Oryctolagus cuniculus: one gene and its partners. The protein of the gene in region 2 purifies or fractionates together with the protein of the main gene of each other region. This does not show direct contact. Links are inferred from orthologs where the notes say so. Each region holds a gene or a part of one and is shown on either strand. Other genes may lie near its edges. The genes, in order: KLHL9, USP25 and BTBD9.

What was found.
Region 1: the proteins of USP25 (region 2) and KLHL9 purify together in Homo sapiens (affinity purification with mass spectrometry; 3 studies listed by BioGRID and IntAct, with this or other methods). This does not show direct contact. The link is inferred for Oryctolagus cuniculus from reciprocal best matches to the Homo sapiens genes USP25 and KLHL9.
Region 3: the proteins of USP25 (region 2) and BTBD9 purify together in Homo sapiens (affinity purification with mass spectrometry; 3 studies listed by BioGRID and IntAct, counting the BioPlex papers as one, with this or other methods). This does not show direct contact. The link is inferred for Oryctolagus cuniculus from reciprocal best matches to the Homo sapiens genes USP25 and BTBD9.

The regions. Positions count from the first base shown.
Region 1 is NC_091432.1:184,421,557-184,425,307, reverse strand, and holds the start of KLHL9 (kelch-like protein 9), read right to left. Parts: upstream 2,762-3,751; coding exon 908-2,761; 3' UTR 1-907.
Region 2 is NC_091435.1:31,201,783-31,205,433, forward strand, and holds part of USP25 (ubiquitin carboxyl-terminal hydrolase 25), read right to left. Parts: intron 1,576-3,651; coding exon 1,448-1,575; intron 772-1,447; coding exon 676-771; intron 1-675. UniProt on the Homo sapiens protein: Deubiquitinating enzyme that hydrolyzes ubiquitin moieties conjugated to substrates and thus, functions in various biological processes including inflammation and immune response.
Region 3 is NC_091436.1:131,095,130-131,098,880, reverse strand, and holds the start of BTBD9 (BTB/POZ domain-containing protein 9), read right to left. Parts: upstream 2,632-3,751; 5' UTR 2,596-2,631; coding exon of another isoform or gene 2,541-2,595; coding exon 2,415-2,540; intron 1-2,414. Other genes in the region: translation initiation factor IF-2, read left to right, coding at 2,539-2,595, 2,694-3,554.

The DNA of each region.
Region 1 (3,751 bases), on a different chromosome or scaffold from region 2:
CTAAATTTATTGGGAAAAAGCAAATTCTATGAATTCTGAACTTTGCTAAATAACATGTATAAGAGCAACTCTAAAGAAAATATACAAGCAGAAAAATGTAAGTTTCATCTGAAGTAACAATTTATAGTCAAATGACAAATACAGTTGTCAATTTAGAATGTTGTAGCCCTTATCTAAATTCAGTATGACTATACAGATATTTATTCTCTGATACTGAATTCCCACTTAAATAGCTGATTAATGGAAACAATTCAAATTTAAGAACAATGTCACTATGGTTAAAACAGTCCAATTAATTTTAAAATTATATATGTGTGTACCTATTTGTCTTATTATGCATATATTTTCTTTCACCCTTCCACTGTCTCCAGGGAGAGAAACCAAATGCTGACTTAGGGCTAAACTGGTTTCTCTGGTTAATATTTTTGTTATTTCTCCTATCTGCCTAAGACCTAAGAAACTTCACATACTCCATATGCAACCACAAAACCAAATGAGTTGACATGTGTGAAAAACTCTGAAAAGAGGGAGGTAGCTAATAATTGGTGACTTTTCATTTATTATTTTAGGTTACAGCAGACCTCCCCTTGATGTTTTTCAAAGATGAAAATTTTGAAGGATAATGCACACAATTACATTTACTACAGTCACCTACAATTTGACTTAATAACACCACAAAGAGACATCTAATTTAAACATTGTTCTGCATATCTCCTTTCATTTGTTAAAACAGCTATGTTGAATACACTTTCAGAATGCATTTGTTAGCCACCTGATAAACAAAGCCAAACAAGACAAATAATGTTACCTTTTTATCTCACAACTACCAACCATTGTGAAGAAGATACAACTGAAGGGGAAATAGGAGATCATCCATGAAGAACTGCCAAGATATAACACCTTAGATCTAAGAATGATCTGAAGGTGCTGAGAGTGGCGACTCTCTAGAAGGTGATCCAGGGTTTTCTTCAGGGGGAAAAACCGTGAGGGTACAAGCTCGGATGCCACCGAGTGACTCTGGAAGGTCAAAAACTTTATGCCACTCATCTTTTTCTGGATCATATTTCTGGACAATTTCTACCATACAACGATTATTCCAAGAATATCCACCAACAACGTAGATTTTATTTTCAAAGACAGCAACTCCAACATCACTTTGACCTCTTAACATGGCAGCAATTGGTGTCCACTGGTCAAGCGTTGGTGAATAGTATTCACAGCTTAGAACATCATCATAATCACTTGTTCCTCTGAAGTGATTGCCACCGATGACATAGAGCTTATCTCCAACTGTACACATGCAATGCAATCCTCTGACTGTAGTCATTGGGGCCTTCTGTGTCCATTTGTCTGTATCCGGGTCAAAACACATGAGCTCATTTTGGAAAGTGTCATGGGTAATTCCTCCTGAAATATACATTAAGCCTCCATACACTGTTCCAGCATGGCCATAATGGGGTTCACTCATTTTTGCAACATAGCTCCACTCATTCATTCGTGGGTTGTAACATTCTACTGTGGCCAGTTCACCAGCTGCACTGCGCCCTCCAACTGCATACAAATGTCCTTTGAGAGCACTCAAGTGGAAGAAAGTGCGCTTTTCATTTAATGATGCAACTTGCATCCATTTATTATATCGAGGATCAAATCTAAAAACTGTATCGACAGCAGTTTTTCCTTTTGTATCATAATTACTTTGACCACCAACCACATAAAGGAAGTTTCCAATGACAGCAATGCCATGCTGGTAACGAGGAGCATCCATGGGGGCTAAAGATCTCCACTCTTGTGCTCTTTCATCATACATCCTTAATTCTTTACTGACAACCAGCTGTTGCCTCAACACTCCCCCTAAGGTAACCAAGTGCGTAGAGTCAGACCGAATGGCAGTTCTGTCAGACTGCATCACTGGCTGCATATATGGCATCATTTGGTAGTTGCTAGCTTCCAAAAGCAAGTTCACACAGGTATTGTCTGTTCTCATGAAATCCACGGTCTGCACATAATTGATGAGGTCCTGTGGTGTCATCAGTGGAAATCGAATATTCTTCATTAATTTTGCAGCATAATCCATCCGAGGATCTTCCAACCTTAGCCATCGACAGGCAGCCTTGAATAGTTCAAGTTCAGTACAGTGCTTTAGACTATTACTGGAAAGCACAAAGGCAAGCCGTTCAAAAGGGAGTTTTAGAAACTCTCCAGTACTCAGTAAAGCAGGGAAGTTCTTCAAGATGAAATTATTAACATATTTATCCACTTCTATTAGATTGTAGGTGTTAGCAATTCGTCCAACCTCAACGCAGTTATCCAAAGAGACTCCTGATATAAGAAATACTTTACAGAAATCCAAAACGGGTAAGATTTGTAAGAAGCTAGCAGCTTCAAGAGTGTCCTGAAGATTGTCCATGTTAAGAGAAAGTTTTGCAGTATAAATAAAATCAATGATTTTCTTCAGACCAACCTTGTTCACCCCATGAAGCTTAATGCACATTAAATCTTGCTCTTTCATTCCACCTGTGAACATAGCCTTGAAATAATCACTAGCAGAAGCCATCATCGCTCTGTGAACAGGGAAGATTTCATCTCCATCGCCCGGTACCAGGGTCACATCACAAAGCAAACCTTCTATTCTAAGCTGATCAAAGCCTTGCAGTACCACCGAACTGTGAGTATTGCTGGTAAAAAACCGTGTGGTTCCCGTCTTGCAAGGTTGCAGATGGGCAGAGACGCCCATTTCGCCGTTACCGAGAGACACTTTCATGTGAAAGCCTCCCTCTTGTACAGATGTATGCCGAAGAAAGCAATTATAACCCGAATGTTTTTCAGGAAACAGAGATGTCCACAGAGCTCACTTCCCCTAGCAAGGACGAGCAGTCACCGTGGCGCCCCTCAGGACACACCAGTCAGTCGTCCACTGGAAACTCTCCAGCGGCAGGGCCACAAACGGCGGTGGACCTCAAATCTAATTATTAGGCTGGCGATTCATCACCTTAAGGCAGTTAAATGACCCGGTTCACCTCGTCTGGCCTGCGCTGCCGCTCCTTCAGCAGTTCCGCTCGCAGCCGAGGGGGAGGTGCCGCCACGTACTGAGGCTCCGCCGCTCACTCTGCGGCGCGACCGGGCTCCTCCGCGGGCGGCCGCCTGCGCCTTCCGCTGTCACTCGACCGTCGCCGCGGCCACCGGCCAGTTTTGCAGCAAGGGCCTGGAACACCGCCTGGCCTTGGGCCTGGGCCGGGAACACAGAATTAGCCACTGACGCCGAGCCGATCCTTCCGGAAAGGCCTAGTCCCAGGATCCCCCGGGCTAGGAGCGTCCGTGGGAACTACTGCGCCTGCGCAGCCGTCTGCCCTGATTGGTGGGCGGGCTTGCCGACGTGTCCGGGAGGGGGAGGAAGAGCGGGATGGGCGGGGCGTGCGGGGGTTGGAGAAGCCGAGCGGTCGCAGGTGGGTGGTAGCGGGGCGCGGGGGAGTCTCCGTGTGCGTGAGGCTGGGTAGGCCGGAAGGAGTACCCGTAAGTTACACGCGCATTTGGTGTAGATGAGTCTGGATTCTTCTTTAAGGTGTAGGCTCGCTGGCCGCTTCTAACAATGAAATAAGAACGATTTTTGTATAAATTGAGAGGCCGCCTGGCAAAGTAACCGTAGGGGGAGGATGCTTAAATGATCTTTCTCTATAAAACACTTCATAAATTTTACCCGGTATAATTTAACAGACACTTCAATGATTTGGGTTCATATTTGAAATTTTTATCG
Region 2 (3,651 bases):
GAGAATACAAATTTGATCAGATGTTACAAACTGGAATCCCTCAGGCCACGTTTCTGCCAACAGACTTTGTCTTACCTGCATGACACTTAATAGTTTAGATTCTGAATTCTTTTAGAAGTAACCAGAAGCTACAGACAACAGTGAGACCATAGCTATGTATAAATGCTGTATGTCACTCCCTCTACACACAAATGTGCTCTCTTGACAACCCTGTACCAATCACTCTATACCTATGCCAATTCCCTCCTTTTAGTAAGCTTTTGTGAAGCAGAGAGGTATCTGAATTTGTATTCTCTGCAAAAGGAGAAAAATTCAGCTACCATTCATTTTAGTGGAAACCTCAAAAGTAACATTTAGTCATATGCTAAAAGAAAAGTCCCATACTAGATTCATTTAATTTTATTTCTATTTTCAACACCATATATTACCTGTTGACAATGATATATGTGATTTTAAATACTAAGTCTTCTAAATCTAATTATAGATTATTATAATTATCATAGTTCTCAGATAAAAAACTCAGAAATAAACTATTTAGCCAAAATCTTTTAAAAAGACAAGATCTATTTCTAGACTTGTAAGTCATTCAAGGTAAATTTAAAATTAAAAACCTAAACAGTCACCAATCCCATGACTTCCCATAGTTATCTCATAATTTCATAAAAGTTAAAATACCTTTCTAATCTTTGCTGTAATACTGTAAGATAATCTTTAAGTCTCTTGATCTCGTCTCTCTTAATTCTTGTTATTTCTCTGTTTCTGTGCATGTATCTATTAGGAGAAAAACAATAAATATTAACATTTCCAAGGACCTTATAATTAGGGACAATATTAAAACTAGCTACCACTAAAAAAGACTAATCCAGTTGAAATTTTGTAAGATATCAGATAATATAAACTAGCATTTTTATAAGATTTATTTATTTATCTTAAAGGTAGAATTATGAGAGGGAAAGCCAGAGAGAAAGAGATCTTCCAAGCGCTAGTTCACTCCCCAGTTGGCCATAGCAGCCTCGGTTGCACTGACCCAGGCCAGAGCCAGGAGCCAGAAGCTTCTCCTAGGCACCTGGGCCAACCTCCACTGCCTTTCCCAGGCCACTAGCAGGCAGCTAGACTGGAAGTGGAGCAGCCACGAGTTGAACCAGTGCCATATGGCCGACAGCTTTACACACTCTGCCACAACACCAGCCCCAAAAGAGCGTTTATTTTAAAATTCAATCAGAATTTTCGGATTACAAAAATATTTTATTTCCATATAATATTATGCCAGTAATTATATTTTTCTAACACAAAAATAAACTATCTCTTTGACAAATAGTATTAGTTTAATACTTAGTAAAGATTAATAATAAAAAAGCAAAATTAAGCAGAATTATCCTCTAACTATAAAAATTCTTCACTTGCCTACTAATTTCAAAACCAAGTCATATAGTGTATCAAACCATACCTGTCCAGATATAAAACTTGGGGAAACTCTAATTTGTTGTGAATTTTTTCTGGTCTTCCCAAGGCCTGGTTAAATTCAAATCTTGACAATTCAAATGTTAACACAGGTGGTAGTTCAGTAAACCAATGCTAAAAGAAAATAGAATAAGAAAATAGTCTTAATACCACCTTTCTGTTTCCTCCATTTCAGTTTTATGCAGAGGATGCTGACCTGACAATATTTAAAAACTTTCATTTCTTTATTTTCATTTTATTTGAAAGGCAGATTTTAGAGATATAGAGAGGGAAAGAGAGCACCTATTCACCAGTTCTTCCTGAAGCCAGTTGCCAAAATTCCCTCTCAGTTTCCCATATAGGTAGCAGGGACACCGTGAGTATTTGAACTATCACCTGTTGCCCACCAAAGTGCATGTAAGCAAGAAGCCGCATTCCAATATGGGCGTAGGCATCCAAAACAGTAACTTTAACTGCTGCATCCAACACTTGCCCCTCAGGATACATTTTTACTTGCATCATCACAAGCTGACAATCCAAACACTGGGCACATAATTTGGACAGATGTCAACTGCTGGGGCAGGTGCTTAGCCTAGTGATTAATATGTAAGCACTGTGTCCCAGCTTTGACGCCTGACCCCAGCATCCTACCAATGCAGACCCCCAGGAGGCAGCAGGTGATGGTTCCGGTAAGGAAAGATGGAGTGAGTTCCTAACTCCTGACTTTAGCCTGGCCCAGCCCAGGATGTTATAGGTATTTGGAGAGTGACCCAGCAGACTGGAGATAACCTGTATTTCTTTCTCTTTGGCTCTCTGCCTTTCAAATAGATAAGACAAATAAAAAAAAATAATAGGTGTGTGTGTCATCTATTCTTTTTAAATTCATATTAAGAATTAAAATAATACCCTATATGGCAAAAAGAAAAGTTTTTTTCACACATATACAGTAAATTTTGAAGTAAAAACAGATCATAAAACTTAACCATTGGTTTGACAAAGATATTAAAACAAAGTTTTACAAAACTATAGTTGCAGCAATACTGCAACATTTCTTTTTTGTTTGTTTTTCAAATTTTCACTCCCACATACAAGGGTAAACATGCGGTAGTTGCCTTTCTGAGTCTGGCTTATTTCACTCAACATGATGTCTTCTAGTAGTGTCCATTTTGCTGCAAAAATTTCATTCTTTTTATACCTATTTGCTATTTATTTAACCATTCATCTGATGATGGACACCTTGGTTGATTCCAGATTTTGGCCATTGTGAACAGTGCTGCTCTAAACATGGTAGTGCAGGTCTTTCTTTGATGCCATGTGTTCAAGTAAAAAGAAAAAGTTTTGATGGCTTAGAAAAATACTGATCTTCATTTCACAATATTCAACTCAAGTATACTCCAAAAATTCTTACCTTTCTATTTTATTACAACACTTAAAAATGTCATCACTAAAATTAAATAGGTATTTTCATTCATTGGATTCTAAAATGGTCATGGGAAATGAAATGACTCAAATAGTGATCTACTTTAAGACAGCACAATCATAAAATGTTATGTAATAAGTTTGTTATGAATGTGTTTACTCCACCTGCAATGCTAAGATTTTCATACACAAGACTAGAAGGATTTCATTTTCTTATTCTAAAGCTGTTGTGGACTAGATGAGAAAACCAAGCAACCACTAATTTTTAAAAATATAAATGGTACATTTAACAGCTCTACAACATTAATATTGTGATTATAGCAGTATACATTTAAAATTAAAGAAACACAAGAAATTTTATTAAAAAAAACTTTGTCACTCAACAGAAAAACTGTATTTACATCTCTGTAATTTTATTGGAATGCTATGCTTGTGAGAAAGAGGTCATGAAAAGTCAAACTAACACTTTTCCTCATTACCTCTAAACACATTAATTTTATTGTATTGTATAATGAACCAATAGAAGGAACATATTTCTGCACTTGCTGAATAAAGAGCTTACATAATCAGTATTGGCAGCATTAGTGTTCCTGATTTTATCTACAAAATTAAGAGATTTAAAGTGTTGAATATATCTGATTTTTGCATAAAGATTATACAAATATGGAAAAAACACGCAGACTAAAAGTGAAAGGATGGAAAAAGATAGTACATACTAACTGAGAGCAAAAAAGGAGATAGTATAGCCATCTTAATATCAGACAAAATAGACTTCAACACAAAAACTGTTAG
Region 3 (3,751 bases), on a different chromosome or scaffold from region 2:
CTTACACACCACTAAAATAGAGTTTTTATATAATGAAAGATGTAACAAAACCAAAGGTTGGGGGCCGGCACTGTGACATAGTAGGTTATGCCTCTGCCTGAGGCGCCAGCATCCCATATGGGCACTGGTTCTTGTTCCGGCTGCTCTTCTTGCAACCCAGCTCTCTGCTATGGCCTGGGAGAGCAGTGGAAGATGCTTGGGCCCCTGCACCATGTGGGAGACCTGGAAGAAACTTCTGGCTCCGTGGCTTCAGATCAGCTCCGCTCCAGCCACTGTGGCCATTTGAGGAGTGAACCAGTGGATGGAAGACTTTCTCTCTGTCTCTCCCTCTCTCTGTCTGTAACTCTACCTCTCAAATAAATATTTTTTAAAAAAGTTCAACATTCAGCAGCAGTATCTTTATTCAATTCTTTTTGTCAGCTTTTTAAAGATTTATTTATTTATGTGAAAGGCAGTGACACAGAGAGAGAGGGAGGGACAAAGAGAGAGATCTTCCATCCTACTGCTGCTTCACTACCCAAATCCTGGCCAAAGCCAGGAGCCAGGAACTCCACTCAGTTACCATGAAAGTAGCAGGGACACATGTACTTGGACCATCGTTTACTGCCTTTCCAGGAGCATTAGCAGGAAGCTGGATTGGAAGTGGGTGAGCCAGGCAGGACTCAACTGGCACTCCAATATGGCATGCCACCATTGCAAGCTGCAGCTTAACCTGCTGCACCACAACACCCAACCCTGGTAACATTTTTTAATTTCCTTCTTCAGGCAGACTCCTTTACCAAGTAATATTACTTGCATTTTTTTTTTACAGGACCAGGAATAACTACAAACCTCATAGTCTACTATAAAAAATAATCCCAGGCAAAACTGTGTCACTGAGCATGGCTAGATGACTACTTTCTATACATTTCAGTAAATTTCCAATAGAACGGCCCGAGCACATCAGGTCGATTTTAGAAACTGAGACACACATTGCTGACTACCACCCTTAGTGAGGCACTCATCCCAATTAGTAACTGAAATCGAAATTATGTAACAACCTGATTCTGTTTGAACCATAGTATCTTTTAAGTAAGGATAAAATTTACTCTTTATTACAATTAACAGAACTCCATGCCACCCTGCAAACAGATGCCTTGTTATCCGTGGGACACCTATAAGCCCGCCTTAGTCTTTAATGTTTTTCCTTCCCAGACTGCCAAACCTTATTTCTTTAATATTTCCCTTTGAGAGACCTGCTCCAGTCACCAGACCTGTAGACTCCTCAGTATATCCTCTGTCGACCAAATTCTCAGTAGGTGATTTCTTACCTCTTTTCTAATTCAAAATTTGCACTTCTTTCAAAGACTAGTTCAAATATTACCTCTTCCAAAGAGCTCCCTAACAGCCCGAATATCCCATCTTTTCTAAATTTCTACAGGACTGCAAAGTACTCGGGCAGCCCTCACATAGCACTAGTTTGCCTACTACCTCATTTGCTTTCACAATTCTTTCATAAACATAAAGATGCTTCCTTCTCCCAGGTAGACCGTGTGCTCTTGAAGGAAGAAGTCAGGCCTTCAGTCGTTCGTCACCCCCAAATCTTCTTGCCACATCTAGCCTAACAGTGGGAGTAAAAGGGGCCACTTCTGTAAGTACTCGCAGGTAATGAGCGGAACAGAAATGCGATCCGTGCAGAGAGCAACCACTATGCATAAATGATGCAACACAGTATCCCTCAGGTATCTGTTGCATACCCACTCTGCAGCAAGCACTTTTCCAGGTGCTGGAGACACACAAACCGGGAGGAAGAAAACACAGGCGATTCCTGTCCTATACCTCGTACAGTCCTGAGAGGGAGACTTTGCCTTGTGAGCGCTCTAAGTGTTACAGAAACAGGGCTGCTACCGGTCCCAGGACGGAAGAACCTCAGGCAACCCTCAGTTGTTGGACTGAATCACAGGATATTACAGCTGGATGAAAACTTAGAAGTTGTCCTCCTTAATTTCCTGGCAAAACTTCTGATTACGTTCCAGCGTGGTCTCTCTCTCCCCCCACCGGTTCTAAGCATTGCCCCAGGAAGAAGGAACTCCTAAGAGGCTGGCTTCCTGCCGGCCTCCGACACGCCTCTCCCTCCAAGACGGCAGGAACCAGGACCACCACGCGTCCTCCCGAGAAGGGAGCCGCTGCACGTCTACACTCGGGACTAACTCCCCCGTCCAACACCGCGCAGCCCACACGCTGAACTCCCTCTTGTCTCCACGTCCTGGGCAAGCAACAAGCAAAAAACAGGGCTTCCACACTTCCCTGGCCCTGTCAATGACAAAATCCCAACACGGTTCTGGAAGATGTAACAACACAAAGTAAGCAGAGAGGGGGGCGGGCAGCCCTTCGGCCTCCAACGTGACAGGTGCCGAGGAAGCCCGCGCACGTACATGTGAGGCCGGACACCGCCCGCAACAGGTCAGCCGCCCGCCGGCTACACTCGCGGGGGGCCTTCCCCGGGTCGCCATGGGTGTGTCTGAGGCCGCACGCAGGCACTGATTCACAACTCTCTCCATGACAACCGGCTCCGACTCTGAGCCCGGCCGCGGCGGGGGCGACGAGGGCCCGGCGGTCCCAAACTTTCCGAACCCCAGCCCCGGGGTCCCCGGTTCCGCCTCCTCCCGGTCTCAGGCTGCCGCGTCCGACACAGACTGCGGGGCGGCTGAGAGAACTCGGGCTTCCCTTCAGTCTTCTGTTTGGGAGCCCCCCACCCCCAGTTACCTCCTTCCCACCTCCCTTTCCAGGACTCCCGCCTCCCCGAGCGCCGGGGCCCAGAAACTGACCCTCGTCAGCCCCCGTCCCCAGCCCTTCCCCGCCCCCCGGAAAAAAGCGGCGGAGGGGCGTGGAGCGGCGCGCGCGGGTACGGTGGGGGCGCGCGCCCCCGGGCCCGCGCAGCAGGTGCGGCCAGGCCCCACCTCCCCTACGAGGCCCCGGCTACTCACCCCAACGATGTTCCTCAGCGACCTAGCCGCCCGCACAGACGCCTCTTCCGCCTGCTGCACGCGCGCCTCGTAGCCACCGCCCCCTCGGCCGCTGCCGTCGCCGCCGTCCTCGCCGCCGCCGCCGCCGCCGCGGCGCGCGCCCGCTCTCACGCACAGCGCCGTGGCCGCGCACGCGCCTCTGCGCGCTGGCGTCACTTAGCAACCGATCGACCGCGGGCCGGCGAGTCCCAGGGTTTAGGGCCCCGGGGAGAACTTGGGCGGGTTCCGCCGCTTTCCCCCCTCAGCGGCCCGACCTGCTGGCCCTCCCGAGCAAGGGCCCAGGGCGTGGCTGCCCTTCCCGCACCTGGCTGCGGGAGAGTCGCGTCAGCCCACGTCACTGTATGGCGTCACCGGGCACGTCACTGCGGATGGCAAGGTCCGGGCGCCTGTGGTGGCGAGAGCGGTGGCCTCGTCCAGACTGGCGCGGGCCGGATGGGCAGCTTCTGCCGGGTGCAGGATGGGTCTGGGTGCGCGGTTGTCGAGGGCTGCTGGGGGCGTGACGAACCGAGCCATGCTCGTCCAGTCTACACTGGAAAGTTGCGAAGCTAAAGCAGATTAATATGGGAAAAGACGCTTTGTAAAGCGTAACGCCCACCAGACTTGACAGTGTCTTTCTCTTACAAGAAGGCCGTGGGGCGAGAGCAATGAGGAACACATTGGAACAATGGCGTTAGTGAATCTGGGTGCAAATGCGACTCTGGGTGATGTTGGCAAGTCCGTCCCCCTAGGGCCTTGGGCAAGCTGGG